Callithrix jacchus: one gene and its partners. The protein of the gene in region 2 interacts with the protein of the main gene of each other region in a biochemical or structural test. Links are inferred from orthologs where the notes say so. Each region holds a gene or a part of one and is shown on either strand. Other genes may lie near its edges.

Region 1 (10,337 bases), on a different chromosome or scaffold from region 2:
CCAATCTTTATTTGTTTTGTATCTACTAAGAATATATTACTTGGCTATGAAAAAAAAATTGAACTTACATGTACTGACTTCACATACTATTACCACATGTCTTAATCATACACAGCAATGGCCATTTTATATTACTTATAAGAGCTTTACCGTTACACAGGGAGCCAAAATCAGGGAATTTAATATCACTGGTCTTTAAAATGCCAGCTGAAAGAAGTGAGGATTTCTTAGCTCACAGAAAAGGTGGCTTGGGGCACAGCTATCCCTCTGGAAAGCAGTAACATGCCAAGTGGATCCACTCTGCACGGTCCAAGGGAACAGATCCAGGACTACAGGGTGGAAATGACCAAAAGATTTGCTTTAAAATATCCTAATATCCTAATAGTGTTGTCCAAAGAATGGGAGTTAGTTCTCCATCCCAAGATAGGGCTGAACAACCAGTTGAGGAAATGTTGTAAATAAGAGTCCATTATCTGATAGGGACCTCCTTAAGATCCCTTCCAACCTTGAGATTCTCTAAATGGATCCTTCCCAACAATAATGCTGATTAGCCTGTGCAGAATTTCTCCTGGGGGTCTTTTTTTTTTTTTTTGCGACGGAGTTTCGCTCTTGTTGCCCAGGCTGGAGTGCAATGGCGCGTTCTCGGCTCACCCACCGCAACCTCTGCCTCCCAGGTTCAAGCGATTCTCTTGCCTCAGCCTTCCAAGTAGCTGGGATTACAGGCATGCACCACCATGCCTGGCTAATTCTTTTGTATTTTTAGTAGAGACAGGATTTCTCTCCATGTTGGTTAGGCTGGTCTCGAATTCCCGACCTCAGGTGATCCACCCACCTCGGCCTCCCAAAGTGCTGGGATTACAGGCGTGAGCCATCATGCCTGGCCTCTTGGGGGTCTTTTTTATGTCAATTTCTCCAAGCCTCTGACAACTTCTTAAACATATCCCTTCCACCTTGAAAGGATACCAAGTTAATTGGAAGATGATAACTAGCTCTGAAATATTTTTTATCCATGCAATTCTTTAAGCAGATTTTTTTTTTTTAAAAAAAAGGAAGAACTGAATAGAAGTGGTCATTCTGACTCCATAGCTTTATAGGAGGTGTTTTGTTTGTTTGTTTTGTTTTGTGAGACGGAGTCTTGCTCTGTCGCCCAGGCTGGAGTGCAGTGGTGTGATCTTGGCTCACCAGAACCTCTGCTTCCTGGGTTCAAGCAATTCTCCTGCCTCAGCCTCCTAAGGAGCTGGGGGATTACAGGTGTGTGCCACGACACCTGGCTAATCTTTTTGTATTTTTAATAGAGACGGGTTTTTGCCATGTTGGTCAGGCTGGTCTCAAACTCCTGACCTCAAGTGATCTGCTTGCCTTGGCCTCCCAAAGTGCTGGGATTACAAGCATGAGCCACCATGCCCAGCCCATAGGAGGTATTGACTAATATTCTGTTTGTTTGTTTTTGAGATGGGGTATCATTTTGTTGTCTAGGATGGATTGTAGTGGTGTGATCATGGCTCACTGAAGCCTTGACCTTTTCAGCTCAAGTGATCCTCCCACCAAAGCCTCCCAAGTAGCTGGGACCACAGGCCACCAAGCTGAAGCCATAGTGACCAACATTCTAAAGACCATAAAAACAGAAACGTAGTTGATGAGAAAACTAGTATTTTGCCATTTTTGAAAAGGCTGGACTTTTAGTACAATCTTAGGCTATATACAAACAGACTGTGGGATAACACACTTATGAGAGGGCCTACCTAGTAAAGAACCTGAGAGGGAAGAGACTATTGGCCCAGGAAAGGCTGAAGGAGGAGCTTCCAAGAAGCCAGCCTGAGATGACGGCCATGCAGAAATTAGCAGTTGGATTAGAATTCATTTTTTTTTTCTTTTATGGATTGGAGGTTTCAGAGAATCACAAGGAATCAGGTGTTCAGAGGAATGTATTGAGTAGAGGTGAGGAACTAGGATGTTGAAAAGTAAAAAAAGGAGAGAAGGAGAGGAAGAAAGAGGAAGAAAAAGAGGGAGAGAGAACAGGAATATTGCTTCATTCTAAAAATGGGTATTAATAAAAATGGGTAGAATTCAATTAACAGATTGGAGCCTAACACTAATAATACAGACGGAAGACTGAAGACAGACGTGGGGTGGATGTGGAGAGAAAAGATTCCTATGCTATGCTCAAGTTACAGGTAGGAATATGTTGGGATTGCAAGTGAAACTGCTGGTCCCATATAAGGCTATCTCGCCTGACTCTAAGAAACTGTAAATATCCAAGCTGGATGAGACTCTGTAGTAAAAATATCAGATCACTTTTTATAGTTTGTTAAAAGGAAAAAGTGGGCCAGGCATGGTAATCCCAGCTCTTTGGGAGGCTGAAGTGGGCAGACTGAGCCCAGGAGTTCAAGACCAACCTTGCCAACATGGTCTCTACCAAAAATACAAAAAATTAGCTGGGCATGGTGGCAGGTGCCTGTAGTCCCAGCTACTCAGGAGGCTGAGGCAGGAGAATTGCTTGAACTCAAGAGACAGAGGTTGCAGTGAGTCGAGATTGCTCCACTGCACTCCAGCCTGGGCGACAGAGTGAGACTGTGTCTCATGAAAAAAAAAAAAAAAAGAAAAGAAAAGAAAGAAAGAAAGAAAGAAAAGAAAGAAAAGAAAGAAAGAAAGAAAGAAAGAAAGAAAGAAAGAAAGAAAGAAAGAAAGAAAGAAAGAAGGAAAGGAAGAAAGAAAGAAAATAAAAGAATAAGAGGCTGGACACAGAAGCTCATGCCTGTAATCCCAAACTTTGGAAGGCCAAGGTTGGAAGATCACTTGAGCTCAGGTGTTTGAGACCAGCCTGGGCAACATGGTGAAGTACTGTCTCTACAAAATATCAAAAATTGGCCTGGCTTGGTGGCCTGTGCCTACAGTCCCAGTTACTTTGGGGGCTGAGGTGGGAGGATCACTTGAGCCCAGGAGGTTGAGGCTGCAGTGAGCTGAGATCATGCCACTGCATTCCAGCCTGGACAGTAGAGTGAGAACTTGTCTCAAAAAAAAAAAAAAAAAAAAGAAATAAAAACAATAATGCCACATTTTGTCTAATCAGCTATAGTATGACTAGATAAAATATAGGGTCGTAGAGCATAAAAAAGGCGTGAAACTTCACATAGGAGGCACAGGAACAGGGCTGATGCTCAGGCCAAGGACAGCCAAAGAGCCGGGGCTTTAGGAGACTGAACATTTTAGAGAGAAGCAGCCTCGGACAAACGCCCTCACTCCAGAAACCCCTATGTCCCCTCCCAGCACCTTTGGTCTAGTTTCTAAGATTCCAACAGAAAGTGGTAAACATTTGGAGACTTTTATAAGAGGGACTGGATTGGGTAAAGACCATTCTCTGGCAAAACCACCTACACCTGCTATTTTGCAAAGCATAACCCCAAAAGTGTACACCTTCACTGAATCTTTTCTTAGAAGAGAGAAATCAACAGCTGTAGTAGTGAGAGCTAGAAAAGTGACAGAAGATGAAAGAAGTCTCACTATCAAAGCTTGAGGCCAAGTGGAGTGGAACACACCTGGAATGCCAGCACTGTGGGAGGCTGAGGTAGGAGGATTGTTTTGAGTCTAGGAGTTTGAGACCAGCCTCGGCAACATGGTTAGACCCTGTCTCTACAAAAAACCAAAAAATTACCCAGGTGTGCTGGTGTACACCTGTGGTCCTAGCTATTCAGGAGGCTAAGGTCGGGGGACTGCTTGAGCCCAGGAGATCAAGGCCGTAATGAACCATGATCATACCACTGCACTCTAGCCTGGGCAAAAGAGCAAGATCTTGTCTCAAAAAATTTGTTTTAATTTAAAAATAATTAAGTCTGACCCTTGAGCAACCGTAGCCAGAGCAAAAATTCTCTGCAAATAGATGCAAGGAAAGACCAGTCTATGACACAGAGTACACAGTGCGGGGTACAATTGGTAAATAAGTGGATAGGCACCAGTCAGAATTTTGCTAATTCATTCTGAAGATTAGGAACTTGATGCCTACACTTCTGCATTTATTTGCAAATCATTATATATAGAAATAATTGTGCTTATTTTGTTATTTACCTATATGTGTGATTTATCCCAAAGTGAAAGTATAACCACTCTACAATTATCCTTTTGAAATAGTCTTGACGATATTGCAACTTCAAATAACACCTTCAGATATTGTAGAAGAGACATATTGGAACCAGGCAGACTCAAAACACCAACACATCAGGCAGCCAGCCTCTGAGCAGACCACAGAAGCAATACCTTTTAAGTGCTACTCATTCATATCTGAGCCAATAAACAACTGTATATATGGGCACTTATTTCTCTCAAGGAATTTTTTGTTTCCTTCCTTATTCCTGGCTGTTTTAGAGGAGTGGGGTAAACAGATAGCCACCTAAATGAGGTACTTCTGCCTAGAATAGAAAAAGGCAGTTCCAGACTGACCAGAAAAGGCTCCAGAAAGAAATTACAACCAAAGGGGACAGGTAGAAGAATGTCCCATGAGAGTGAACATGAGCAAAGGCCCAGGGACAGGATTTAGGATGGCCAGCTTGTGACAGGTGTAGGTAAGTCACAGGGAATATGGAATGGAGAAAAGGCTGTGAAGGGCTATTCGGTCTCTCACCTTCTGTCATTTTGATGAGAAGTAAAAGCAGGGAATCTACTTGTCCAGACCATGAAAGCCAGAGGAAAACAAAAATACTAATGGATGATACACTTTCCCAGTTTAGGATTACTGCAATTTTCCAGTCATGGGGTTGAAATGCCTAATCAAGACAATAGATTCCTGACCCAAGAGCTGTGACAGCCTTCAAGAGTAATGACTGAGAGATTAGGGAACCATATTCCTAAAGCCACAGTCAACAGAGTCCCTTCTGCCTCTCAAATAAGCCTGAGTCACTTAGAGGAGGCAGGAGAAGCAGGGACAGAGCAGCCAGGTGGCTGTGCCAGTCACAGTAATTATTTGCATGGAAATGTTCAGTATTTGACAGCTATTAGTGCTTACATCTGGGTATGACTATCACCCACATAGAATGAGAAGTGAATGAGACTTTTAACAGGGCTCATTGTCACAATAACTTCACTAGGTAGCCCAGGAGATCTTCTGAGTAGCTGTATGGAACCACATCTGGGGCTAGTTCTAGACCCATTCTAACATTAGAGGATCAGAAATATCATTTTCTCATAACTATCAATCAACCACCATTCTAAAACTAAAGACACACACACACACACACACACATATGTACATATATATATATATTTTGAGGTGAGTCTCAAGGCTGAACTCAAGTTGAGTCTCAAATCTCAACTCTTTTGCCCATGCTGAAGTGCAGTGGTGTAATCTCCACTCACTGCAACCTCCACCTCCCAGGTTCAAACAATTCTCCTGCCTCAGACTCCCAAGTAGTTGGGATTACAGGCACACACCATCATACCTGGATAATTTTTGTATTTTTAGTAGAGACAGGATTTCACCCTGTTGGCCAGGCTGGTTTTGTAATCATGACCTCAGGTGATCCACCCGCCTCAGCCTCCCAAAGTGCTAAGATTACAGGTGTGAGCCATTGTGTCCAGTTAAGAAGATATATTTTTAAATTAGTAAATTATATGTATCAACTAATAAAGTACTTCTGCTTACCTTAAGATCTCTATGAATTAAATTTTTTGAATGTATATAATCTACCCCTGTTGTTATTTGTTCAAAGAATTCCAAAGACAAAACTTTGTCTAGTTTCTTGCCTCTTCTGTCTTCAATCCATTGCTCCAGTGTCCCTTTATCACAGAATTCCATTTGGATGAAAAGGCACTTAGTCGTTGATCTGGGTATAAAATTCACAGTATGTTAAAAGTAACAATAAATATAAATTTATTAAAAAAATCATATCTTTTTAAAAGCTTACACCTTATCTTCTTAAGAACTCCAAAACAAAACAAAAAAAGAACTCCAAAACATGTCTCAAAATAGAAATCTAAATATAATAAATTTGAATCAAAATATAATAAACCATTTTTTATTTCAATCATAAGTTCCCAGATGTCCAGAGCTTTATTTGTTTAGCTAATTTATAAAATATGAGCTGGGCCGGGCATGGTGGCTCATGCCTATAATCCTAGCACTTTGGGAGGCAGAGACAGGAGGATTGCTTGAGCTCAGGAGTTTGAGACCAGCTTGGGCAGCATGGTGAAACCCCGTCTCTCCTAAAAATACAAAAATTAGCTGGGTGTGGTGGCGCAGCACCTGTAGTCACAGCTACTCAGGAGGATGAGGCACAAGAATCACCTGAACTCAGAAGGTAGAGGTTGCAGTGAGCTAAGATCGTGCCACTGTGCTCCAGCATGAGTGACAGAGTGAGACTCTGTCTCAAAAAAGAGAAGAAAAAAAATGAGCCACCCATTCTTTATTGCTGAAGATCTGCAATCATCTTTGCTAATAGATAGAAATAGGAACATGAATATAATAGAGTTGCAGGAAACTAAATTTCATTATTATATAAAGTAATTTGAAACCTTTTAGTTCATCATCCAACTACTGAGCATGAAAGGTACCTAGAGATAAGAAAATGAGTTAGACACTATCCTTGCCATCATGGGGATAATAGTCTAATAGGAGAGAGTAAGGGAAAAGCAAACCTGAAACAATAGGAAAGGTACTCTAGGAGAAGTGCCAACAAATTACTACGAGATATAAATCTCGTAGATTGATTTACTTTTTTTCTGAATTAAGTTAGCCTCAATATTAATTTATATTCTTGGTATAAGTCAGCTTGAAAACAGGAAAAGGTAGCCAAGAATTTGCTGAAACCTTAAGTTCTGTATGTCCTGAAACTGATGATAAAGTTCTCAGTTACATGAGGTAGAGACGGAGGTGGGGGCAGGAGAAAATGAATGAACAGGACCCCATTGGCCTCAGGATTTTAGTGAGAGGACTATCCCCAAAATAGGTGGGTTGACTTTCAAAGACAGATGCCAGCTCTTTAGGATTTCCAGTTGTTTGGCAGTGGCTTACCTGACATAAAACATAAGGGTGCCCCCATCTCAGCTTGTGGTCTTAAAATTATTTTCACTGCCCACCACCCCAGCCTAAGTGGTATAGTTACATTTCAAAGAAACCCTTGAACTGCACCACACCAATCACAGCCTAAGAGAGGGATAGAAAAGTGTTGGTAGTTGAGGAGGGAGCCCCCAGATGCAGCATCTATATGTTAAAACTCTCTCCACAAGACGACATTTACAGCCTGTACTGAAACCAGCATATACACAAGGCCCTCCATTACACAGTGGTGTCAGGAAAGCTGAACCTGAGATTTCTGAAGACAGCTAAGGATATAACAAAGGGTTGTGAGAGCAAGTCTGCAGCAAGGAGAGGAACAAGGAGGAGATTTTCATTTTCTCCTTACCTTCGGAATGGAGAGATAAGTGTCTCTCAGAGGGAATTGTGATTATTAACTGCAGTAATTAATGGCCTTATCCAGTGGCCCACACAGAGTAAATAACAGTTTCCTTCCATCTTCTTATGATTATGAGAATTTCTTTTTAGTTACCTTGAATTATTTTTGCTGTTCTCAGGATCATAATCACCGCTCTCAGGATCATAATCACTGCTCTCAGGATCATAATCAAATCCATCCCAACAGCCGTTGTAGTGAACAATATTTACATGATCAAGTTCTGCCAATGCTTTTACTTCACGCTCTGCCTTGCTAGTTAAAAGGCACAAGGAACATGGAAGTGTCAGTGTACATCCCTAGTAACAACCACAAAACACCTCCTATAATCGGAGACAACTATCGACATTCCCTTATTAAACAATTGCCGTTCTCACACAATTTTAGAATGGAAGCCAGGAGATTCAAAAGGAAAAAGTGAACATACTGAAAAAAACCATAGGTGCTCTCACTCCCACTCTTTTATTTTATCTCAACATAAAATAAAAGGCAGCAACTTCAAGAATGCCAAACATTAGACAATTTAAAAATCATCTGTAGCAGTCTTGAAATGCCAGTGGTGGGGCCGAGTACGTTGGCTCATGCCTGTAATCCCAGCACTTTGGGAGACCAAGGCAGGCAGATCATAAGGTCAAGAGTTCAAGACCAGCCTGGCCAACATGGTGAAACCTCGTCTCTACTAAGAATACAAAAATATAGCCGGGCGTGCATGGTGATGTGTGCCTGTAATCCCAGCTACTCGGAAGGCTGAGGCAGAATTGTTTGAACCTGTGAGGTGGAGGTTGCAGCGAGCCGAGATCACACCACTGCACTCCAGCCTAGGTGACAGAGCAAGATTCCATCTTGGAAAAAAAAAAAAAAAGAACCAGTGATGCAGTTTTAATTCATTTATTTTATTGAGACAGGGTCTCACTTTGTCACCCAAGATGAGTGCAGTGGCACGATCTTGGCTCATTGCAGCCTCAACCTCCCAGGCTCAGGCAGTCTTCCCACATCAGCCTCCTGAGTAGCTGGGACCACAGGAACACACCACCACACCCGTCTACTTTTAAAATATTTTCTGTAGAGATGGGATTTTGCCATGTTGCCCATGCTGGTCTCAAACTCCTGGGCTCCAGTGACCGACCTGCCTCAGCCTTCTAAAGTGTTGGAACTGTAAGCATGAGCCACTGGACCCAGCTGATGCAATTTTTCATAGCTAAATCATACATTATGTTTCACTTAGACTTTGTTAAAATCTTTAGATTTCACAAGCAAACCACATTTGGCGGCAAGGCTAGGTAACCCAGGCAGTGTAAAGTACCTAATTCAGGATTTTCAATGTGTGGCAAAAATACCCAAAAGGACAATTTATGCAGAGAAGGTGAGATGGTGGGAGGCATTATAGGGATGTATTGCCAAGACCTAAGACAATTCCATGCTAAATGCAGTAAATAATTTGGAGGTCTCAAAGATGAGGAAGGATAAACAAACATTTTATAATTTTATTTTTTAATGCAAAAAGTTCTAAACTATATGACAAAAAATTTGCAAAAACAAAGAAAAAATTACTCATATGTTGACAATCCTAAAACAATGTTATTATTTTAGCTTCCTTCCTACAATCTATTATTTTTCCTTCCTCCCTCCCTCCCTTCCTCCCTCCCTCCCTCCTTCCCTCTCTTCCTTCTTTCCTTCCTTCCTTTTCTTCCTTTCCTTCTTTTTTTTTGAGACAGGGTCTCGCTCTGTCACCCAGGCTGGAGTGCAGTCACAATCTTGGCTCACTGCAACCTCTGCCCCTAGGGCTCAAGTTATCCTCCCACCTTAGCCTTCCGAGTAGCTAGGACCACAGGCACACACCACCACACCCAGCTAGTTTTTGTAATTTTTGTAGAGACAGGGTTTTTGCCATGTTGCCCAGGTTGGTCTCGCACTTCTGATCTCAAGTGATCTGACAGCCTCAGCCTCCCAAAGTGCTGGGATTACAGGCATGAGCCACCGTGTCCGGCCAGTCATTTTTAATGGCTGCAAAATAGCCATTGATCAGCATACAGAACAAAACATGTTTACTCATTTCTTCACTGCTGGATATTTTGTTTGTTTTAATTTTTCACTGTTAATGAACGACACTGTGATTTATATCATCTTGGATATAAATCCATAATTTAAATAATATATATTTTTGGGAGATAGGGTCTCACTGTCACCCAGGGGGTAGTGCAATGGTGTGATCATGGCTCACTATAGCCTCCACCTACCAGACTCAGGTGATCCTCCCACCTCAGCTTCTCGGGTAGCTGAGACTATAAGCATGGCCACCACACCCACCTAACTTTTCTATTTTTTCTAGAGATAGAGTTTTTCCATGTTGCCCCAGGCTGGTCTCAAACTCCTGAGCTCAAGTGATCCACCCACTTTGGCCTCCCTAAATTATATTCTTAAAACAGGTTCCCAAACAGGAAATCCTTGGGCCAAAGTGTATAAAAGATTTTATGGCTCCAGATTAATATTTCCAAAGATATTTTAAAACATGTTGCATCAATGTATAAAGTACTAGAAATGACCAAGACACTGGGCCATCATCAACATTATTATACTTTTTTTTTTTTTGAGATGGAGTCTCTGTCATCCAGCCTGGAGTGCAATTGCACGATCTCGGCTCACTGCAACCTCTACCTCCCAGGTTCAAGTGATTCTCCTGCCTCAGCCTCCCAAGCAGCTGGGATTACAGGCACCCACCACCACACCTGGCTATTTTCTGTATTTTTGTAGAGATGGGGTGGTTGGCCAGGGTGGTCTCAAACTCCTGACCTCAAGTAATCTGCCTGCCTTGGCCTCCCAAAGTGCTGGGATTACAGGCATGAGCCACCGCGCCCGGCCCTCATTTATTCATTTTATTTTATTTTTGACACTGGGTCT
Region 2 (11,094 bases):
ATCAACAGAATGGGAAAAAATTTATGCAATCTACCCATCTGACAAAGGGCTAATATCCAGAATCTACAAAGAACTAAAACAGATTTACAAGAAAAAACAAGCCCATTCAAAAGTGGGTGAAGGATATGAACAGACACTTTTCAAAAGAAAACATTTATGAGGCCAACAAACATATGAAAAAATGCTCATCATTGATCATTAGAGAAAGGCAAATCAAAATGACATTGAGATAGAATCTCACACCAGTTAGAATGGCGATCATCAAAAAAATCTGGAGACAACAGATGCTGGAGAGGATATGGAGAAATAGGAACACTTTTACACTGTTGGTGGGAGTATAAATTAGTGCAACCATTGTGAAAGACAGTGTGGCAATCAAGGACCTAGAAATAGAAATTCCATTTGACCCAGCAACTCCATTACTGGGTATATACCCAAAGAATTATAAATCATACTATTATAAAGGCATATGTACATGTATGTTCATTGCAGCACTGTTTACAATAGCAAAGACCTGGAACCAACCCAGATGCCCATCGATGATAGACTGGACTGGGAAAATGTGGCACATATACACCATGGAATACTATGCAGCCATAAAAAACTACGAGTTTGTGTCCTTTGTAGGGACGTGGATATATCTGGAAACCGTCATTATCAGCAAACTGACACGAGAATATAAAATCAAACACCGCATGTTCTCACTCATCGGTGGATGTTGAACAATGAGAACACATGGGCACAGGGAGGGGAGCATCACACACTGGGGTCTGTTGGGGGGGACCAGGGGAGGGACAGCAGGGGGTAGGGAGGTAGGGGAGGGATAACATGGGGAGAAATGCCAGATATAGGTGATGGGGATGGAGGCAGCAAACCACATTGCCATGTATGTACCTATGCAACAATCCTGCCTGTTCTGCACATGTACCCCAGAACCTAAAGTGCAATAAATATATATGTATATATACATATAAAATAAATAGATTACTCAGTCTGTTGTATTTTGTTACAGCAGCACAAAGATACAACTGTAGGAGCAATATTTTCAGAAGGTGAGAGGAAATGGAATCCAGGTTGTTAAGTACACAGATTAGATTTATCTGGGAATAGAGACATTCTAAGTATTTTAATATGAGAAAAAGTAGCCGAATAGGTACAAATGTAGATACACTAGTAAATTCTGAGGTAGAAAGAAGTTGGTCGGGAACAATGGCTCACACCTGTAATTCCAATACTTTGGAAGGCCAAGGCAGGTAGATCATGAGGTCAAAAGATTGAGATCACCTGGTCAACATGGTGAAACCTCATCTCTAATAAAATTACAAAAATTAGCCAGGCGCGGTGGCACACACCTGTAGTCCCAGCCACTCGGGAGGCTGAGGCAGGAGAATCGCTTGAACCCAGGAGGCAGAGGCTGCGGTGAGCCGAGATAGCACCACTTCACTCCAGTCTGGCAACAGGGCAAGACTCCCTCTCAAAAAAAGAAAGAAAAAGAAAGAACAACTTGCCTTGTGATGGCTTTCATTTTCTCAATAAAGACAGGTCTAAAAGAATAAACAGGGAAGAGAAGAAAGGAGAGTTTAAATCAGAGGCTTAAGGAGGGAGGAAAATCCTTGAAATACTGATTTTCAAGAATAGACATACTAAAGAATTAGAGGAATGTTAGTAGTATTTAACATGCAATTACAACTGAGATTGTTTCTTTAAAATGAGACTAATCAGGGCCAGGTGCATTGGCTCACACCTGTAATCCCAGCAATTTGGGAGGCCAAGGCATAAGGATTGCTTGAGCCCAGGAGTTCAAGGCCAGCCTGGGCAACAAAGAAGACCCTATCCCTACAAAAATTAAAAAAAAAAAAGTGGTGGGCGGTGTGGTTGTGCACACCTGCTGTCTCAGCTATTCAGGAGACTGAGATGAAAAGACTGCTTAAGCCCAGGTCAAGCCTACACTGAGCTAGGATAATGGCACTACATTCCAGCCTGGGTGACAGAGCAAGACCCTGTCTCAAAAAAAATTAAAAATTAAAATAAAGATAAATGAGACTTATCAGCAAAGTTGTGTTTTTCCTCCATCCATGTTCACCTGTGAGGTATAATAAGAACTGGCCAAGTTGAATTTAACTAGTCCTGGGTTTTGGCAAGTAAAACAAAAGATTATAGGGACCAATAAATAAATGGTCATTTGCAGTGTACTAACTACAACGATGGACCACTCGGTCTACACTGAGAAAGGAGAAAAAGCAGACATGGATGCTTCACAAATGCATATCTTAAACCCCAAGTGGTCTGTAAAAAAAGCAAAAGCCATGACTTTTATACTATGTATATATATCTCACCAAAGACAATATAGTTAGTACAATTTGCTGACTGATTAAATGACTCTTATATATATTTCCAGAACTCCAAATGATACAAATTCATCAGATTTAAGTTTTTAAGTAGCTTTCTAAAGATACGGAAAGAAAAATAAATCTATCATTGAAAAGCTTGAGTTCTGAAGAGCAGGTGAATGGGTTCCCATGATATTTCCATATGAACAAAGATTAATTTGTTCATAAGGACATTAATCAATCACAGCAGAAATTAAACTTAACAACAACTAACTTCATATGGGAAAGTAAAACCTAATTACTACAGTGCATCCCCTCTCAGAACAACTCCCCCTGCCCCACTGAATTTCCGCGCAGTCTCAGCAAATAGTAACTAGTCAAGAGAACTGGAACTTTGATACTACTGCTAACTATAGTTTATCTTATTAAAGAATTTAAAATAATTCTAGAAAATATTTTTCTAGACCACCTTTTATAATGCTTAATTTATATAAATTACTTAAAGTCATTTTGCTACACTATTTATTCTTTCTATATTTCAATAATGTCAAGAAAATCCTAGAGAAGACAAAACATACCTTTAGTAGGCTAGGTTCAAATAAAATTATCACAAACTTTTACACATATAGATTTTCAACTGGTCAAAATATATGGTTTAATCAGCTCAGTGAAATAAAGAAAAGATGAGTCTAGATAGCATGTTAAGGAAGAGAAAGAGATAAAACTATGATAACAGAAAAAGGTTTGTTTCCCAGACTGTGTTGCTACTCAAGTCACCAACAGAACAAACCATTAACAAAGAACTGAAGTAACTACCTTATCTGTAACATGAGAATACTAAAGCAGATACTACTAAAGTTTTCTTTCTATTCCAAAAATTCTACTTCATCTAATGCTTTAGACTTCACTCTTTCAAAGGCCTTTGAGAAGGAAGGGTGCTAAAAGACTCAAACTTTCAATTCATGATATATATACTTCCTGTCTCTGGATGACAACCAAAAAGTCTAGAAGAAAACAGAGGCAAGTATTTCAAAATCAGAAGAAAAAAAAACCTAGGTCATCTCTTCTCCATCCTGTGCCACTCTTCGTTCCACATTCACTTCTCTCATAACCATTTTCCTTCATTTTTTTTAAAGTGAATTATATTGTGTACATTTGATGTTTGCAACATAGTATTAGGAGATACACACAGATTAAATGGTTACAATAGTGAAGCAGATTAATATATCTATCATCTCACATAATTACTTTTTGTGTGACAAGAGCAGCTAAAATCTACCTATTTAACAAAAATCCTTAATACAACACAATTTCATTAAGCCTCAGGCCTAGCAGTAGCACCATTTGTATACCAGAGAACTATGAGGTTAGTGAATCCAGACACAGAATTTATTTAGGAAAACGGGAGCTAACAGTTTGCTAATTCAAGTCAGGGCTTCTTACCTTTATAACCCCATCACCAAATCCAGTATCAAATACACAGCAGACACCTAACTTAACTCCTCTATATAATTTATTACACCAGTGGTTCTCCAATGTGGTCATCTGGGGTCTTTCCAGAAACGCAAAATTTCAGGTCCCATCGAGACCTAATGAAACAGAAACTCTGTAAGTGAGGTACATCACTCTGTTTTAGAAAGCCCTCATGTGCGATTTTGATGCACACTCAAGTTTGAGAACCACTATATTAAACCTGCCGGAAATAACCTTCTTGTTAATTATAAAAAAAAAAAAAAAAAAAAAAAAAAGGTGCTGTTTTTTTCTCAGCTGCCATCACTTACAAATGCTTGGACTCACATGCTTTCAACCACTTAACTTCTGTCTCCAGCCTGCACACAAAATGAACTTTAGTAAAACCTTTGGAGCCTCAGTTCCCTGGTCTGTAAAGTGGGAATAACACTACACACTTCCATGAATAAGAGACGGCTTACAGAAAGGCTCCTTTCCTTTCCTCTCTGTCACCTGTACCAAGTCCCTGCTACTTTACACAAACAATGCTCCTAAAGACACTCTGGCACTCCTCTAAGAAATGTCACCAGGGCTTCCTACACAGAAAAGCTCTCTAATGAGGTTTTCTTATCGAAAATAGCACAGGAGGGAAATGAAGAGAGTCCTACAGAATCTTACAGAACAGCAATTCTAAAAAGGTGGTTCACAAGGTAGTGGGAAAAGCAATCATTCAAAATCGTGCATCTCTGTAACTTAAAAACAAAACAAACAAACAAAAAAAAAAAACACCATTTAACAGAACATAGGCAACTTTCTCTTAAGTGTCCAAAATAAATCATTAATGATAACTGGAGATAAATACTACAGATGGTGGGAGGCAGGAGGAATGAAGCTTTTGACAATGCATAAGAATTAGAATATATGACCCATATATTAAAGTGGTAGAGACCTTCAAATTCCAATCCCCTAAATTTTCTGGGGGCAGTCTTACTGCTAAATTATTTGTCCCAGTGTTGCCACACTATGTGCTGTGATTTGGGGTTCAAAAAATATGGTTACCAGGGGAACCAAAAGCAAAAGCCTATTGCTATGAGTGAGACCTAAAAACTAGGGAGTACTACCTAAAAAAAAAAAAATAAAAAGCTGAGAACTTTTTATTTTTTATAATTTATGAGGAATTCACTATAAACAATTTCCAATTTTTAGCTCCTCGTTCTCTCTGAATGGAATATTCAGGTTTAATTTGACCTCCTTGACAACTAGCCCTTTTTATGAGGATGAAAATAGATCCGTGCATGTGATGTGTCATTATACTCGAATATTTCGCACAGTAACCTCGCCAGGAGCATTCGTTAAGTCGGCACTATCAGCTTCAATTCTTCCTCCTCCCCTCTGCCATCTAAGCTAGGACAGCCCTCTATTTTCGTTATTCTGTTGGAGTAGCCAACATTCCAGTCTGCAGGACTGAAGAGAAATTTAATCGCTCCTATCTTTTCAGGGGAACCTTTTTCTTCACAGAACTTGGAAAAGAAATGCCAGCCAGACGTTGAATGACACCATGCTGGGAGTTGTAAAACCATAAACTCTGTGCCTGGCCGTCCGGGAGGAGGAATTCCAACAGCGGCTCCTCGTTGCACCAACCTAACGATTTCTCCACACGACAGTGCATCGTAATGCGAATGGTTACTAACTTTTTAAACAGTCAACACCGTCCTCTCCAACTCCCAGCCGGACAGGGCAACCCTACCCCGCCCAAGAACTCCAGAGCGAAGGAAGCCTTTTGGCCACCTCAGTGGTTCCTCCCAGCACCAATGACCGCCAGTGTCCCCAGGCGCCCACCGAGGGTCCCAAGCGAGGCCGAGACCCGAAAGCTGCCCAAGTCTCCGCGTCCCAGGACGTCCTGAAGTCGCAGCCCGGTGGCCCCGCTCCCCGCCCCGGGGCGCACCCCGTCTCCTCCGACCCCTAGGGCCATGTTCCTCACTCCAAACCCACTGTCCCAGCCCCGCGGCCCGCCAGTCCCCTCGACTCTTCCCCAGGCAAACCCGGAACTGGGCGAAGGCTCAGGCCCAATCCAGGCCGCGGCGCTCGCCCCACCTCCTGAGTAGTCCTGGGACACGCGCCCGGGCGCACACGGGGAAGCGCTGGTGGCCTGGTCCGGGAGCCCGCTTCCCGGCCAGGGCAGGGCAGGGCAGAACTCACCTTCGTACTGCAGATCCACTAGGACCAGCAGGAAGGGGAACACCGAGCCCAGCCGGCTGGTCACGGAGCCGGGGGCCACCATGTCCGAGGGCTCGCGAGTGAGGAGAAGGAACGGTGTGTGGCCCACCAGCCCGCGCCGGCACTCTGGCAGCAGCTGCGCCCGCCCGCGTCGGCTCCAGCTCAGGCCTCAGCGTCTCTGGCGCCCAGCGGAGAAAGGCAGCTGTGGGCGGGGCCCGGACGACGCTACGCCCCGGAGCTCCGCCGCCGTCCAATGGCCTTCTTCCTGGCCTCTTCTTTCCCGGGCTCGCCTGGGTCGTGGTTCGCGCTGATAGGCTGCGGAGGCTGCCGCCCCGCCCCATCCCTGATAGGGTAACGTGGAAGCACGAGACAAGGCTGCGTCCGCGGGTCGCAGAGCTGTCAGCTATCTCCAAACCGCCGCGGCCGCCGGGAGGGAGGCGGATGGGGAGTGTGTGGCGGCCGCCGAGCCCGCATGCGCAGGCTGAGACGGCCCTTTTGGGCCAGTCCCGCTGTGCTAGGTTGGCGAGTAGAATGATTTGATCCATTTGTGGTTCGCCCGCGAGGTGTTAGGAGTGGAAGGCGCAGCCTCAGCGTCCGAATGGGAAGGCCAAACGCGTTCCTGGGGAGTCGAGAGGAGCTGCAGGACGCCTGGAATTGAGGTCTCGAGTGAACCGGGAAACACAGCCTCCTGCTGAGCGTCCCGGAACAACTACTGTCTGAACTGAGCCGTAAGCAAGAAACGGCCAGGAGAAGCTGGGGCTTAGTTAATTAGGGCGATCTGATGGTTAGACCATTTCAGGGACAACCAGGGAGAAGTGCGTAATTGCTCTGAGGCAGGTAAGTAACTGGCCTGGAAACTTGGGAACCACCCACCCCAACTTTCAGCAAACCAGCGTGCCCAGGAAAAAAAGAGCGGCTGTGGAACCCCAACTTTCAGCAAACCAGCGTGCCCTGGAAAAAAAAAAGCGGTCGTAGAAAACCCTGTGAAGAAGAGACCAGAAAGGCACTGTGGCTTATGAGAGCAAGGCGTTCCTGAGCGCAGCCAACGTCAACTGTTAAGAAAACAAAAAAAAATGTGAGACGGGATCCTGCATCTTGGGCTTACCAGGGGAAATTCAAGATAGATATGAACTTGAGCGAGATGAAGTTACTCAATGCGGTCTTACGCCTGTTCTTGGCCACTTCCTCCGGCGTCACCAGCACACACACTGTACACTAACAGTATTTTTACACGGGGTAAAACAATGCTTTGTGTGTGTTAAGTACCGTCAAGTGCATACTTATTACTTCACCTGTATTTGCTGCCTTGATACTATTAGAGAAACTCATGAATTATAAATAGTATAGTGAATTTGTGATTCCCCGAAGACATACTAAAGGGGGCTTTTAAAAGGGAACTAATATGGAAGAAATTGTTCCGAGAAAGAAAAAAACGGAGTTCTTTATTAGTTATGGGGAAGGAAACATAATATAATGTGAAGAGTAAAGGATTCAGATCCAGGAAACGCCACCACTATTATGCAAGTTATCTTCATCTGTAAAGTGGGTAGGATCCTGATAGTCTCCAAGGTCTGTTTTGAGGTTTCATGAAGCAAATAAATGATCTTGTAAATTGTAGAATGTTATACCAGTGTTACTCATTAGTCAAACACTAGCAAAATAGTGAAGAGAGACTCCAGAAATTCCTTGGGTTTTTTTGTTTTGTTTTGTTTTGTTTTTGTCTTGCGTTTTTCGATATCACAAGGTAGTGTCTCTGAAAAACTGCCGATGGCTTCAATATCCACAAATACACAGGTGAAGACATTCAGTTGAGGTCCTGTAGCCAAGGCAGCCAACAAAATGCGGACCATAGAAAATAGCTTTGTAAACAAAATGCAGTACTCCTAGACTGAGTTTCACCAGTGTGCTGCCTATGACCCTAGTCTTAAGGAAAAAGTAGCGGAGCTGAAGAAATTCTAAGGATGGAAATTGAAAATTATTAAGGAGGCGATAGACTTCGTGTTATAGAAAATAAAAATAGCAAGGGTCTTCAATGCTGAGTGATTTTGAACATTAATTACATAACTATGAATTATGTAATATTAGAACTAAGCTTTACAAAGTATTTTTCGTAAAAGATAATTTTATAACAAAGATGGTAACATTACTTTAGACAGAAATAAGTGTAAAAAACTACAATTATATGTATAATGCTTGGGAATGTTTGCTCCAATGTTCATCTAGCCATGGTTTTCACTAATCCCTTTTGCCAATAAAACCAAAAACCAAAGTTATTCAGTGATTGTAAGAAAAGTAATTGTAAATATCGTTTGCATTTGTCAGAATCTATGCAGTCTTTTTGAAATTAAACATTAAATCTATACTGTAATTCATACTATCTGTTAAAGATTTTAAAAACAATGGTAGCATATTTACGATATATCCAAAATTAAGAGTATTGTATAATTTTTAATACGTTGATTTATGTTTATTGACTAGGAAAAACTTGATAGAGAGCAGTGAACAGATCTAGAACATATTTTGGAGGTAAAGGGGATAAGATGTGCTTACTAATTAACTATGAGGAGAAACAAATGTTCAGAAACAAGTAGAGCACTTATAAACACCGTTTGTAACAAATTAAAAACAAAAAAGGCAGCATTAAATTAATGTCACAATATACATCCTTCCACATTTATTTTTACAAACTTGTGCTTTTGTTTCCAAGAAACATTTCTAGGCTAGGCGCAGAGGCTCACAGCTGTAATCTCAGTGCTTTGAGAAGCCAAGATGGGAAGATTATTTGAGGCCAGGAGTTTGACACTAGCCTGAGCAACATAGCAAGATCCTGTCTCTACAAAAAAAATTAAAAACTAGCCAAGTGTGGTGGCTCGTGACTGTAGTCCTAACTACTCAGGAGATCAAGGCAGAGGATAGTTTCAACTTAGGAGTTTGAGGTTGCAGTGAGCTAAGACAATGTCACTGCGCTCCAGAGGGAGCAACAGAGTGAGACCTTAACCAAAAAAAAAAAAAACTAGATTTTTAAAATTGAAATTGCTTAGTCAACGAATGCATTTAACTTTTAAGAGGCATTGTCAGATGATTTTTCCCTAAAAGAGTAATTTTTGGCCGGGCGCAGTGGCTCAAGCCTGTAATCCCAGCACTTTGGGAGACCGAGGTGGGCGGATCACAAGGTCAAGAGATCGAGACCATCCTGGCCAACATGGTGAAACCCCATCTCTACTAAAAATACAAAAATTAGCTGGGCGTGGTGGCATGCACCTGTAGTCCCAGCTACTCGGGAGGCTGAGGTGGGAGAATTGCTTGAACCCAGGAGGTGGAGGTTGCAGTGAGCCAAGATTGTGCCACTGCACTCCAGCCTGGTGACAGAGTGAGACTCTGTCTCAAAAAAAAAAAAAGTAATTTTCTGTTTCTATCAGCTGTTTATGTTCCTATATACTCACCATCACGATAATTGATTTTCAGGTTTTGCCAGTCTGATGAATGAGAAATGACCCTTCTATGTCAAATTTACTGTTTCTTTTCAAGGATTTGTGGATTCTGATAAAATTTCAGTACCTTCATATAAAATTTGGCTTTTAAACCACATCGTGTCTTCTCTGCTTTTCCCTTCTTTTCTGTTGTTTCTTGGCGTCTAGCCACATGACTGCAATTTCCACTTTTGTATTCACATTATCTTCTGTCGTTTTTACCTTTTTGCCTCCCCCTTATAAGGATTCTTGTTATATTGGGCCCACTGAGATAATCCAGGATATTCTCCCTACTCAAGTTCCTCAATTTAATTACATCTGCAAAACTGCCTTTTGCTATAGAACAATGACAGGATGTTGGAATGTAGAATATTTGAGAGCCATTATTCAACATGACACAATACATCCCCCTTCACCAGGTAGAGCTCATTTTCCCTCCTTCCTTGAATGTAGGCTAGACTTAGTGACTAACTTCCAAAGAATAGAGTATGGAAAAGGAGGAGAAGAGTGACTTCATAGTAGAGAAACCTACAAACACTATCTTGCCCAAGTAGTCAAGATTAAAATCATCAATAAAATAGAAAATATTGATAGCATTTACTCCCAATATGATGTGATGAGAAGAGCAATTCACCTCTGTGGTATTCTCAAAACCTATAACCCAATCTAGTCTAAACATGAAAAAAAATCACACAAACTAAAATTGAAGGACATTCTATAACACACCTGTATTCCTCAAAACTATCAACATCATGGAAAACAAGGAAAGATTGAAATACTGTAACAGACCAAAGGAAACTGAGGAGACTTAGTTGATGACTGAGTGCAATGTGCTGTCTTAAACCAGATCCTGGAATAGAAAATAGACATCAGTGGAAAAACTACTGAAATATGAATAGTCTCAAGTTTAATAGTAATGTACCATTATTACTTTCTTAATTTTGACAAATGTACCATGGTTATGCAAGATGCTAACATAGGGAAAAAGTAAGGAAAGGGAATTTGGGACCTCTCTCTACTATTTTTATACTCTTAGTTGAAAATGGTTTCAGCAATAGAAGTTCATTTAAAATATTGTAAAGAGTCTGAGTATTTTTAAATCAATTGCAGTGACTCCCTTTTGTGTATTTGTGCCCAAATGAGTTTTTCTGCATTAAATTTTATCTCCTCTCCTTGCAGAAGAAAGAGAATTAGCCCTTTACAGAGATAATAGTTGCCTAAGCCAGCTCTTTTCTCCTCATTTTGATGTTCTCTTTTTCTCTCACTTTGGAAATTGTAGGTTATTTGATTTTTAAAATATCTGTTGTTACATACACATTCTAGTTATATTCTAGTCCAACTAATCTATCAAGATATCTAAAAGAAAGAAAAATGATGTTCACTGTATTTTTTATTTTTAAAATGTGAGTCCATTTAAATAATAGGTTGTGTTGTTATGAGATGAAAGTTTTGAAGTGTGATTTAAAGATTCCCTAACATCACAGTTCTGGACTATAAACTGTAAAAATTGTATTGTAAAAGGTTCATGCACTGTTTCTAATAAATAGATGAATATTTGGCCATTGGAATGTGTTAATACTGACTTAAAGGCAGCTGTGTGTCTTCGAACTTTATATGCAATTAAGTA
Region 3 (11,068 bases), on a different chromosome or scaffold from region 2:
AATATGAAAAATGCAAATAATATCAGTGTTATCATGAAAAGGTTTGACACTGTGGACTCCCTGAAAGGTGTAGGGGAATGCTATGTTCTGAATGTCTGTGTCCCCTCAAAATTCACGTTGAAACAATCTCAGTGCAGTGCTGTTGGGAGGTGAGCATCTGGGAGGTGACTTAAGTCGTGTGGGGGACACCTTGTTTGCCCCTTCCACCATGTGAGAACACAGCAAGGCACCATCTAAGAGGCTGGGAGTGAGCCCTCATCAGACGCCAAATTTGCTGCTGACTTCATCTCGGACTTCCAGCTTCCAGAACTATGAGAAATAAATTTCTGTTGTTTAAAAATCACCCAGTCTAAGGTATTTTCTTATAGCAGCCCAAAGGCACTAATACAGGCACCCTCATGAGTCCCGCCCCTCTGTTTTACATTTCACAAAGTAGAGTACATCGACTCTCAATCAGCCTTGATTAAATTGCCAGAACCTTGGAAGCCCTCACCCATCTTGGGTGAGCGAGTACTAGCTAGCTGCCTGAGGAGGAAGGAGAGAGCAACTATCTCTCATCAGAGCAATTCATTACCTCTACCTGTACACATTCTGGTTTAGGGAAGAGCTTCACTGTGAGCTGCCTCACAGTGGCAAGCCTTGGCATTAGGCAAGCCACCCAGGGGCAATCAAGATTTAGGCAGTATAGGCAGTGTTTCTTTTTTTTTTTTTGAGGTGGAGTCCCACTCTGTCGGAGTGCAGTGGTTCGATCTCGGCTCACTGCAACCTCAGGCAGTGTTTTGTTTTGTTTTTACTTAAACCCTGTCACTGACCTAAGCTGGTTGATAATTTCACCTTTTTAAAAAAGAAGCATATTAATGCCACTTTTTCTAAAACAATAAAAATTATTATGCTATGTATTGCCACATCGTACACTTCATTAATTACACTCTAGAAGTTTAAATTACTTCTAAATAGCTGTTTTTAAAAGGGTGCATGGAATTTATAACTGATTACTGGGAAATGTACTGTTTTAATAGCATTAAATATATTCATCTTTATTGCTAGTTAACAATGTTAGCTAGTATTTGAAGACTAGACTGACAATGTCCCCTTTTATCAACCTTCCCTACCACCTGTTTACAGAAGAAATGGGAGGGGTTAAAACTAATAACCCTAAAAATATTGTTATTAATTCAGTAACGCCTCTGGAAACTACTTCTTTGTTATAACTAACTCTGGGGACAGTGAAAAGGAAACTATCAAATACAGTAGAACTTGAAATCACAGGGTACGAGCAGATTTGAGTTGGCTAAAAAGACCTTGAACATATTATGTAAACAAGCCAGAAATAAAAGGAAAAATAGTATATGATTCAACTTACATGAACCTAGAACAGGCAAATTTATAAAGACTGAAAGTGGATTTGAGGTTATCAAAGGCTGGGAGGACAGGGGAATGGGAGGTTATTGCCTAATGGTTGCAGTTTTTGTTTGGGATAATGAAAAGGTTTTGGGAATAGTGGAGATGGTTGTACAACACTGTGACCGTAACAAATGCCACTGAATTGTACACTTAATAGTTAATATAGCAAATTTTGCTGTATGTATTGAAACAAAATTAAAGTTAACATATATATCCCAAATTGTTCATTTTAAATGGGTGAATTATATGGTATGTGAATTGCATCTCAATAAACATTCTTTTAAACAGAAATTCATGGCCGGGCGAGGTGGCTCACTCCTGTAATCCCAGCACTTTGGGAGGCCGAGGCAGGCGGATCCCAAGGTCAAAAAATCAAGACCATCTTGGCCAACATGGTGAAAGCATGTCTCCACTAAAAAATACAAAATTAGCTGGGCGTGGTGGTGCGAACCTGTAGTCCCAGCTACTCGAGAGGCTGAGGCAAGAGAATTGCTTCATCTTTCATGTGCTTGTTAGCCACTTGTATCTTTCCTTTAAGGAAAGAAGTCCTTTGCCTATTTTTAAATTGGGTTGTCTTTTTGTTGCTGAATTTTAAGAGTTCTTTTTTTTTTTTTTAAATTTTATTTTAAAGACAACCTAGGCAGCCAGTAAGAGTTCTTTATATACTCTGAATACAAGGCCCTCATCAGGTGAATTACTTGCAAGTACTTTCTTTCATTCTTTTCACTTTCTTGGTAATGTCCTTTGATACACAAAAGTTTAATTTTGATGAAGTCCAATTAGTCTATCTTTCTTTTTATTTCATGTAATTTGATCATATCTAAGAATGTTCTCCGGATGAGTATGATGGCTCACACCTGTAATCCCAACACTTCGGGAGGCCAAGGCTGGCGGATCACCTGAGGTCAGGAGTTAGAGACTAGCCTGGCCAACATGGCAAAACCCCATCTCTACTAAAGAAATACAAAAATTAGCAAGGCGTGGTAGTGGGCGTCTGTAATCCCAGCTACTTGGAAGGCTGAGTCAGTAAAATCTCTTGAATCCAGGCAGCGGAGGTTGCAGTAAGCCGAGATTGTGCCACTGCACACTAGCCTGGGCAACAGAGTGAGGCTCTCTCAAAAAACAAAACACAAACTAGAATGTGCTGCCAAATCTAAAGTCATGAAGACTTATCTGTATTTCTTTTTCTAAAAGTTTAATGGTATAGCTCTTATAGTTAGGCCTTGATCTAAACAAAAGTATAGGTCATTTGGAGTTCATTTCTGTATATGGTATAATGAAAGACTTCCCTTTTTTTCTTCTTTCTTTTTTAAGACAGAATCTCACTCTGTCCCCCAGGCTGGAGTACAGTGGCACAATCCCAGCTCACTGCAACCTCCGCCTCCTGGGTTAAAGCAATTCTCATGTCTCAGCCTCCCAAGCAGCTGGGACTACAGACATGCACCACCATATCTGGCCAATTTTTTTCTTTTTTTTTTTTGGAGACAGTTTCACTCTTGTTGCCCAGACTGGAGTGCAGTGGCATGATCCCAGCTCACCACAACTTCCACCTTCCGGGTTCAAGCGATTCTCCTGCCTCAGCCTCCCATGTTACATGTGCCATGCATGTGCTACCACATCCAGAAAATTTTGTATTTTTAGTAGAGACGGGGTTTCTCCATGTTGGTTAGTCTGGTCTTGAACTCCTGAACTCAGGTGATCTGGCCGCCTGGGCCTCCCAAAGTGCTAGGATTGCAGGCATGAGCCACTGTGCCCAGCTAATTTTTGGCAGAAACAGGGTTTCACTACGTTGGCCAGGCTGGTCTTGAACTCCTGACCTCAAGTGATCCACCTGCTTCAGCCTTCCAAAGTGCTGGGATTACAGGCGTGAACCACCATGTGCCGGCCTAGACATCTATTCTGGAATACCTATCAGGCCTCTCAAACCCAAACCTGCTCTTCCCAGTCTTCCCTATCTCAGCAAATGCTCACGTTAAAATTCTTGAAATCGGCTGGGTGCGGTGGCTCAAACCTATTCTAGCACTTTGGGAGACCGAGGCAGGAGGTTTGCTCGAAGCCAGGAGTTCAAACCAACCCTGCCAACAAAGATTTTTAAAATCTTGAAGTCGTCCTTGACTTCTCTTTTTCTTTTACAAGCTACCTCCAAACCATTAGCAAAACCTGTTGACTTCACCTTTAAACCATATCTCAAAATTGCCACCTCCTCCTCTACTAATCTGAATTATTGCAACAGCCTTTTAACTAGTCTTTCAGCTTTCACCTTTACCTCCCTACAATCTATTTAACGAGCAGCCACTCAGCCTGCTAAAATTTAAGGCTCTTCTCTAAACCCTTCAATGACTTGCTATTTCACTCAGAATAAAAACCATAGTACACCTACAATGTCCTACCCTACAGAATTTGCCCTACCATATACACACCTTTCTGGTTTCATCTTACCTCTCTCCCAGTCCCTTCCCATGGACTCCTGGCTGCCCTGTCTTTGCATTTACTGTTTCCACAGTCTGGAATGCTGCTGCCCAAGGTTATCTCCATGCTGGCCCCTTCACTTGGTGTTTGCTCAAATTCACCTTCTTAGTGAGGCCTTCTTTAACCACTCTATTTAAAATAGCAATTGTGCGTCTTTTGGTACTATTTATTCCCCTACCCTCTAACCTTTGCTTGTTTTTCTCCACAGTAGTTATCATCATCCGACACACTTTGTATTTTACTTGTTTATTCCCCGACCCCCCCCCCAACGCCAATAGAATGTAATCTTCATGAGAAAGGACTTCGATGTGTTCATCTGTAACCCCCATTGCTCACAATAATGCCAAGCACAGAGTAGACCTTCAATAATTAATTATTGAACTAATTAATAAATAACGCACTACATTATAATCCCCTGTTGCTGTACCTGTTCCCTTAATGGACTGAGAGCTTTCTGCATGCAGTGACACCCTTATTTGCCCATGAGTTCCCAGCACCTAACATCTGAGCTCGGCACATAGTAGGCATTGATTTTTGAAGAATGAACCAACAAGACAGGCCTACGAAACATCTCGGCCTTTCAAACATGGTCCCTACGCTACCACTCCCTAAATATAAGTCAGTGTGTGGGGGTTATCTCAAGGAAGGGGTTCCAATACCAATTCCACGCCCCACGCGTACACCCTGTTATGCCTACAATAACCAAGTGAGAAAATGAGTAACGGTAACAGCCAGAAAATGAACCTTGAACCGTGCAATGACAAGTCCGAAGGAGAGAGTAGCTGTGACGAAAGAAGGCAGTGGGAATCAAAACAGAAACACCGTCCCGGGGGTGGTGGCAAGGAGAGGGAAGGGCCCCAATGGCCACAACCATAGAGTCCTGCTCTCTTTTGACAGCTAAGGAAACTAAAGCCCAGAAAGGTAAACGACTCGCCCGAGGTCATACAGCAAGTGAGCCACGGCGAGAACCCACCGCATCCCGCGTCCGCGGGCAGCCCCAGCTCCCTAACGTTTGAGGTGGTGCCCTCTGCGCCGAGCCCCCGCCAGAGCACGTGCTCCGAGGTCCCCGGACGCCCGCCCGTCCACGGCTGACGGCCGCTTCCCCATCTCGGTCCAAAGCTGGGGTCGACGGCAGTGCGCTGCGCCCCTCTCCCACGCCCCTCTCAGCCCGGGAGCCCGCCTGGGGCCGGCGGCTGGCAGCGCTCACCGCCGAGGTGGGCCCGGGCCGCCCGCTCCGCGCCCGCCACTTACCTGGCCGGGTCCCGTGGGAACCTGAAGAAGGCCAGGTCGGACTGCGTGCTCTTCCGGGTGCAGTTGGGGGCAGCGCAGAAGTTCGGCATCGTAGCCCGCCTGCCGGCCGGCCCAGCCCTCCCCTCCCCGCCTCCTCAGGGCAGTCCGCCCGCCCGTCGGGGACGGGGAGGGAAGCCAGGCCGGCCGGCCGGCTCGGCAGGGCCAGCGCGCGGGGGAGGGGCTGGCGGGCGGAAAGCCGCGAGGGCCAGGAGGGGTGCCGCGGTCCGAGGCCGGGCTGGGGACGCGGCTCCACAGTGCTGTGAGCGGCCGGGAGGATTTACCGCCGCCGCCGCCGCTTGTGCACCTCCCGCCCGCCCGAGACGCTGCCGCCTCCTTCCCACAATGCACCCTGACGCCCGGGGGTGCCCTCTCTTCCCTCAGCCTTCCTCCCCCGCCCTTCCTTTCCGCCTTCTCCGCAGGCGGGCATGCGCAACGAAGCGCGCCTGGCGGCGTGTGACAAGACGGAGGCGGGACTTGGCGCGCGCTGCCTCAGTGCGACTGCGCACAGTCTAATCCGCGAGGGAAGGGAATTGCGCATGCGCGCCTGTCTCCCTGGCTCCTAGAGTAGGCGAGCCCCAGGCTGCTCTGGTAGGTTTGGCGTGCGCGGGTTTCTGCAGATCTGGGGCGAGCTTGCACGTTACATCACCTATGCACCTCTTCTTGCTTGCTTTAGTTGCCACCACTTAGACCTTTCTTGCAGAAATCGCCATATACTCTTTAAGGGCCGCGGAATCGGGGCGACCTTGGTGACTGATTGGCAGAATCTTGGCAGATGTGCGTGCACTGGTTGGATGCAGACGTGGTTGTAGGAGATTTGATTTTTCCAGCTTTGCAGCGACTGTTGGCCCTGTTAGCTTCCCAGAACGGATCTCCCTAGTCTCGACTGGAAGCTGAGGGACAAAATCTCAGAAACGCAATTACTCTTTCCTCACCAGGCTTCTAGGAAAGCAAGAATAGCGATATTATTACACCTACAGCCCTATAGAGATTGATCTGTCTTTCCCTCACAGTCGTGGCCTGTTAACGCTCCTGTGTTGTTCAGTGCCAGAATGAGTGACCGCTATTTAGAACAAAGGATTAGTATCAAATTTTGCGTGAAGTTGAATAAGTCTGCAAGTGAGACCCACCATCTTTTAAAAGAAGCTTATGGGGATGAAGTCATGTCAAGGGCCAGAGTTTTTGACTGGCACAAAAGGTTTAAAGAAGGACGGGAAGATGTTCGAGATGACGCCCGAAGTGGGCGTCCAGTCACCCACAGGACAGATGAAAATATCCAGAAGGTCAAGGACTTGGTTTGTTCAAACAGGCAGTTAACTGTGAGGATGATGGCTGAAGAGTTAAATTTAGACAAAGAAACTGTTAGGCTCATTTTGAAAGAAAACTTGAACATGAGGAAGATTTCTGCCAAAGTTATTTCCGGTGTTTTGAAGGGTGAGCCTACACCACGAAAACTTGACTTTCAGTCCGATCTTTCAAAGGAAACTAGGAAAAATAGCTCATGTTTGAGGAAAAAGGTAACAGGTTCTGAAACATGGAGTCATCTCAAGGGTGAAGCTGGTGGGGAAATGCCCCTGCCCGTATCCCATCCCAGAGTCCACTACCCCGCCAGCCAGCTTCTTCAGGCTTCATCTTCAACAAGCCTTCCCCCCAGGGTAGCTGAGAATTGGTTCACCCCATGGTGAGAGGAACGTGAGTTAGCTGAACCAGAACTAGGAAGCTGCCTCACTGTTAGGCACCTTCTTTGGCTGCTCACCTATTTTCAGTCTTTGCTACTCCTCCCTGTATGTCATGGCCCTCCTCATTACTCTTTGCTGGACTGTTGAACCATCCTCCTTGCTGTTCTCCACAACTTTGAAGAACTTCTGGCTGTTGCCTTCTGGTACTTGCTTGTTCTTGATTTTTTTTTTTTTTTTGCTCAACAAGTTTGAATTTCTTCTCTGCCCAGACCTTAGCTTGTTGTGAGTCCTGTTCCTTTGTTCTCAACATTCTGCCTCAGGATCATGCCAGTGAGAAGTGAGGAACAGGATCTCCTGGATCTGTATCTCTGTGCCCAGGGAGACATGCTGTTCTGGGAGGACCCCAAAAGAAGGCTTACAGTTTCATCCTGCTTTGCAGTCAGGGCCTGAGGTATGGTACAGAAGGCAGTGGGATGCTGGTACTACTGAGCAATGCTAGCCCAAAGGGCTGATCTGGCCCAGATGACTCAGTGGGAGCGCGTTAGGAGGGGATGGCCACCAATACTGATCTTCTCTCAGGCCTGCACCTCACAGAAGAGCTGGGTTTGCTTCATTCTAGTCTTGTGCTTTGGACCCCCATTCATTTGGGTATCCTATGCTGGAAAAGGAGGATCTGGTCCTAGAAAATATAAACCTGGAGACCCAGGCCTAAGCTGTGATGTGTGGGGAGGAAGACCAGGTGGTTCTGTAGACCCTGAATTAAGGGAGCCTGATACCTATGTGTGGATTCCCATACAGCAGCCTGTTTTTAGTAACTAATGCCTATAGTTTTAAGAACTTGCTGTTTTTAGAACACTGCTGGACGTTGACAATGTGGAAGTTATAAACAATATCTCCAGGAGCTGACGGGCTACATGGATGAGATGGTTCTTGAACTGGATCCATGAGGATGGGTATGACAGGGGACTGTGAAATTAGGGAAAGCAGGTGGAACAGCATGAGGCATCAAACCTGCATCAGTAGAAAATGATGACATTTGCTTCTTCTCCTATGCCTCCAACTCTATGCCAGTTGATAAATTGCTTCTCCTGAGTCTGTGAATTGGTTTGTAACAACCAATTTGATATCTGATTTTCCAGTCGGAACCTCCAACAAGCAGATTCTGCAAGTTCAAACTCGTTCATTTCTTCTCTTCCTACCTCTGCCAGGATTTATGGAATGGAACTTTTCTCAAGTGGGTTCCAAGGAATACCACATAGACTAGAAACATTCAGGGGCAGGGGTTTGGTAACAGCATTTCACAGAATTGGCCAGTGTCTTTGTTTTACTCGAGGATTTTTATGTATACCAGCTCCTCTTAAACAATATTGCTTGAGAATAGAGGCGCATCACTTACTTATTCATCACGGTTACTTTTAGTGCTGTTCTTTCACTTTCTCTACTCACCTGCAAAAATTACAAGTTCCTCATTAACACCTGTTCTTGTTGTGGTGGTGGTTGTTGTTTTGTTTTTTGAGATGGAATCTTGCTCTGCTGCCCAGGCTGGAGTGCAGTGGTACAACCTCGGCTCACTGCAACCTCCACCTCCTGGGTTCAAGTGATTCTCCTGCCTCAGCTTCCTGAGCTGGGATTACAGGCATGCACCACTACACCCGGTTGATTTTTGTATTTTTGATAGAGATGAGGTTTCACCATGTTGGCTAGGCTGATCTCGAACTCCTGACCTCAGGTGATCCACCCACCTCGGCCTCCCAAAGTACTGGGATTACAGGCATGAGCCACCATCCCCAGCTAACACCTGTTAATTCTGAGGCACCTTGAAAGCTAGACCTTGTCCCACAAAGTGAAGATACTATATAAGAACTCTTAAACCAAGCAACAGCTTATAGACCTTAGCTCCTTAACAGTTTCTAGACATTCCATTTCAGGACCATTAAGTCTTCTTACATCAGATGTGGCTCTGGGTTGCCCACAAGCACTTGGCACCACGGACACTGCACTTTAGGAACAAAGTCCTCATCACTAGTTCTTGCGTCTTTGTTGCTGAACTTATATTAATCCTTAATGAGGCCCACCCAGTGGTAATTGTTGCCGATTTATATGCTTCTGGACCCAGGCCAAGATCCCACAACCCTGCCTACAGGCATTGCTTCTAACCTGTTGTAACCCAGAAGTCCTGAGACATCTTACTTCTGGGTTTGATTCCAGTCCTATGAACAGTGCTGGTGTGTCCCTGCCAATGATGCTGGACCAAGACCCTTGCTGTAGTATAGAGTACCAGAGCTATGCTGGTTCAGACATGGTTTAGACACAGCAACCAGAAGCAGGTAATCAGGAGTGTGAATTCAAATGCTTCCAGGTGGCTGTAATGAAAAGGACTTACCCAGAGCAAACCATTCACATTTGGCTGCTCAGAATCTAAACCCAAGGGTAGAGCATGATCTAGGCATCCCCAGACAGGAAAGTTCTTATATGACTACTCCTAATGTGCTCACCTACCAAATCCATTTCGTTGCTGATCCACGTTTTGCCCTGGCCTGCACCTTGCTACCTAGGCCTCTTGAGCTCCTGGTCCCATAGTCTCACACATCTAGCTATGTGTCTCTCACACCCCAGGCTCTTCCCCTTGGCTGTTTTAAGACACCTCTCAATTTATTATGCACCAGTTTGCTCTTACTCCTCTATTTCCTTGTTGCTTTGTTTTCTGGTCCCGGGTCACACCTTCATTAGCTGCTTTTGGTCATTTTGGTATGCTGATCCTTCAATAGACCTTTGAGTCTATTGAAGTTTTTCCACTTAACTTACAATTCTTCTCTCTGATTTTTTGGATCCTTCTTCCAGCTCCCCACTTCAGCTGCTGAGTAAGGAAATTGTCTGCTGTAGCCCTGGCCCCAGGTTGCCTTCTTATCCTCAAGAATTTGGTGGGGCAACATGGGGGGATGATGTGTTGATTTGTTTTTTGTAAGGGGCGTGGGCAGGAAAAGGTCCCTCTTACCCGTAGCCACCATGAGTTGCACTCCCCAGAGGCACCCAGTGTCAGCAGTTTCTCAAGGAGGCAATTTGGTTACCTCTGGTACCAAGAGTCATGAAACTTTTTCAGAGCTATAGCATCCAAAGCCCATTATCCTAGCAACTGTATTTTCCCTGGTAGGAGAACCTCCACCTAACCACAGATCAAGCCTGGTTTTCTGTGGGATGTCAGGAAGAGAGCTGGCCATCTGCAAACTTTCTCAAGCTTAACACAATTGGTCAATGACTCTGTTTGGCTTTTAGGTTGATCTTTGTCCCCACCCCCATGCCCATCCTAATTCAGAGTTCACATGAAATGTTTTATGCCACTGCTGAGAAAGAAATACATGCCTTCTGGGGCAGGTTATCCTATCACTGATGTTATGTACTTCTCCCCTTCCATCACCCCACCCTACCTTGCTCCATTTGCCCCACTAGTATTGATCAAAAAGAGAAAGAATAAAATGTTCACCGAATCTGTAACTTATAAAAAAAACATGTGGATGGTTCTGCTGTCTTCTGAATTCTGACCCTGACTGAGTCTTCAATGAAACGTTATCATTTGGGAAGAATGTTTACCTGGGGCCTCCTTCCCAGAACCTTTCTCTCAGATCCATTTTTTAGTCAAAGTCTATACTTGCCTTTGGAAATGCCTGGATAAATCTGGATGCTAAATGACTTGAGGACACCGAATAAAGGAATGGGGTACTATTAGGGAATTGTCATTCATTACATTACAAACGCTGCTCAGCTTGCCTGCTATTTGCAGACATCATCACCAGCAAGTTTCACTAGGCTCTTTGGGATTGGATCTCAGCAGGGTCCCTTGTGACTCAATAAGAGCCTACCTTTGCTTCTAAACTATATGATATCCTGCCTTCTCCAATTGCTTCTTCAATCAGCCCACCCAGATTTTGCCAGACATTTATATCTTTTCTGAGATATAATGAGAACCATCATGTATTTATGTTCTTCAGTGTCTCCCTTATCAGATCCTTGCAAACGCCATCCTAGTTGTATCACCCCTCTCCCTGTATTAATATCCAGAAACAAAAAAATCTGTATTGGGGAGCTATAGTACCTCCAGGGACTCACTTGGGTATAGCCCAACGGTCGACAGACTTCTGTAAAGGAGTCTTTATGGGCCATATGGTCTCTTTTGCCAGTACTCAGTATTTTAATGTAAAAGCAGACATAGCTGATACAGAAACGGATGAGCA

The links.
Region 1: the proteins of DNAJC3 (region 2) and EIF2AK2 form a complex in vitro, tested with the Homo sapiens proteins (2 studies listed by BioGRID). The link is inferred for Callithrix jacchus from reciprocal best matches to the Homo sapiens genes DNAJC3 and EIF2AK2.
Region 3: the proteins of DNAJC3 (region 2) and THAP12 form a complex in vitro, tested with the Homo sapiens proteins (2 studies listed by BioGRID). The link is inferred for Callithrix jacchus from reciprocal best matches to the Homo sapiens genes DNAJC3 and THAP12.

What each region holds. Positions count from the first base shown.
Region 1 is NC_133515.1:77,860,061-77,870,397, reverse strand, and holds part of EIF2AK2 (interferon-induced, double-stranded RNA-activated protein kinase), read right to left. Parts: intron 7,695-10,337; coding exon 7,536-7,694; intron 5,814-7,535; coding exon 5,633-5,813; intron 45-5,632; coding exon 1-44.
Region 2 is NC_133502.1:11,415,439-11,426,532, reverse strand, and holds the start of DNAJC3 (dnaJ homolog subfamily C member 3), read right to left. Parts: upstream 6,169-11,094; 5' UTR 6,062-6,168; coding exon 5,980-6,061; intron 1-5,979. UniProt on the Homo sapiens protein: Involved in the unfolded protein response (UPR) during endoplasmic reticulum (ER) stress.
Region 3 is NC_133511.1:64,615,624-64,626,691, reverse strand, and holds the start of THAP12 (52 kDa repressor of the inhibitor of the protein kinase), read right to left. Parts: upstream 5,347-11,068; 5' UTR 5,214-5,346; coding exon 5,125-5,213; intron 1-5,124. Other genes in the region: protein GVQW3, read left to right, coding at 6,213-6,677. UniProt on the Homo sapiens protein: Upstream regulator of interferon-induced serine/threonine protein kinase R (PKR). May block the PKR-inhibitory function of DNAJC3, resulting in restoration of kinase activity and suppression of cell growth.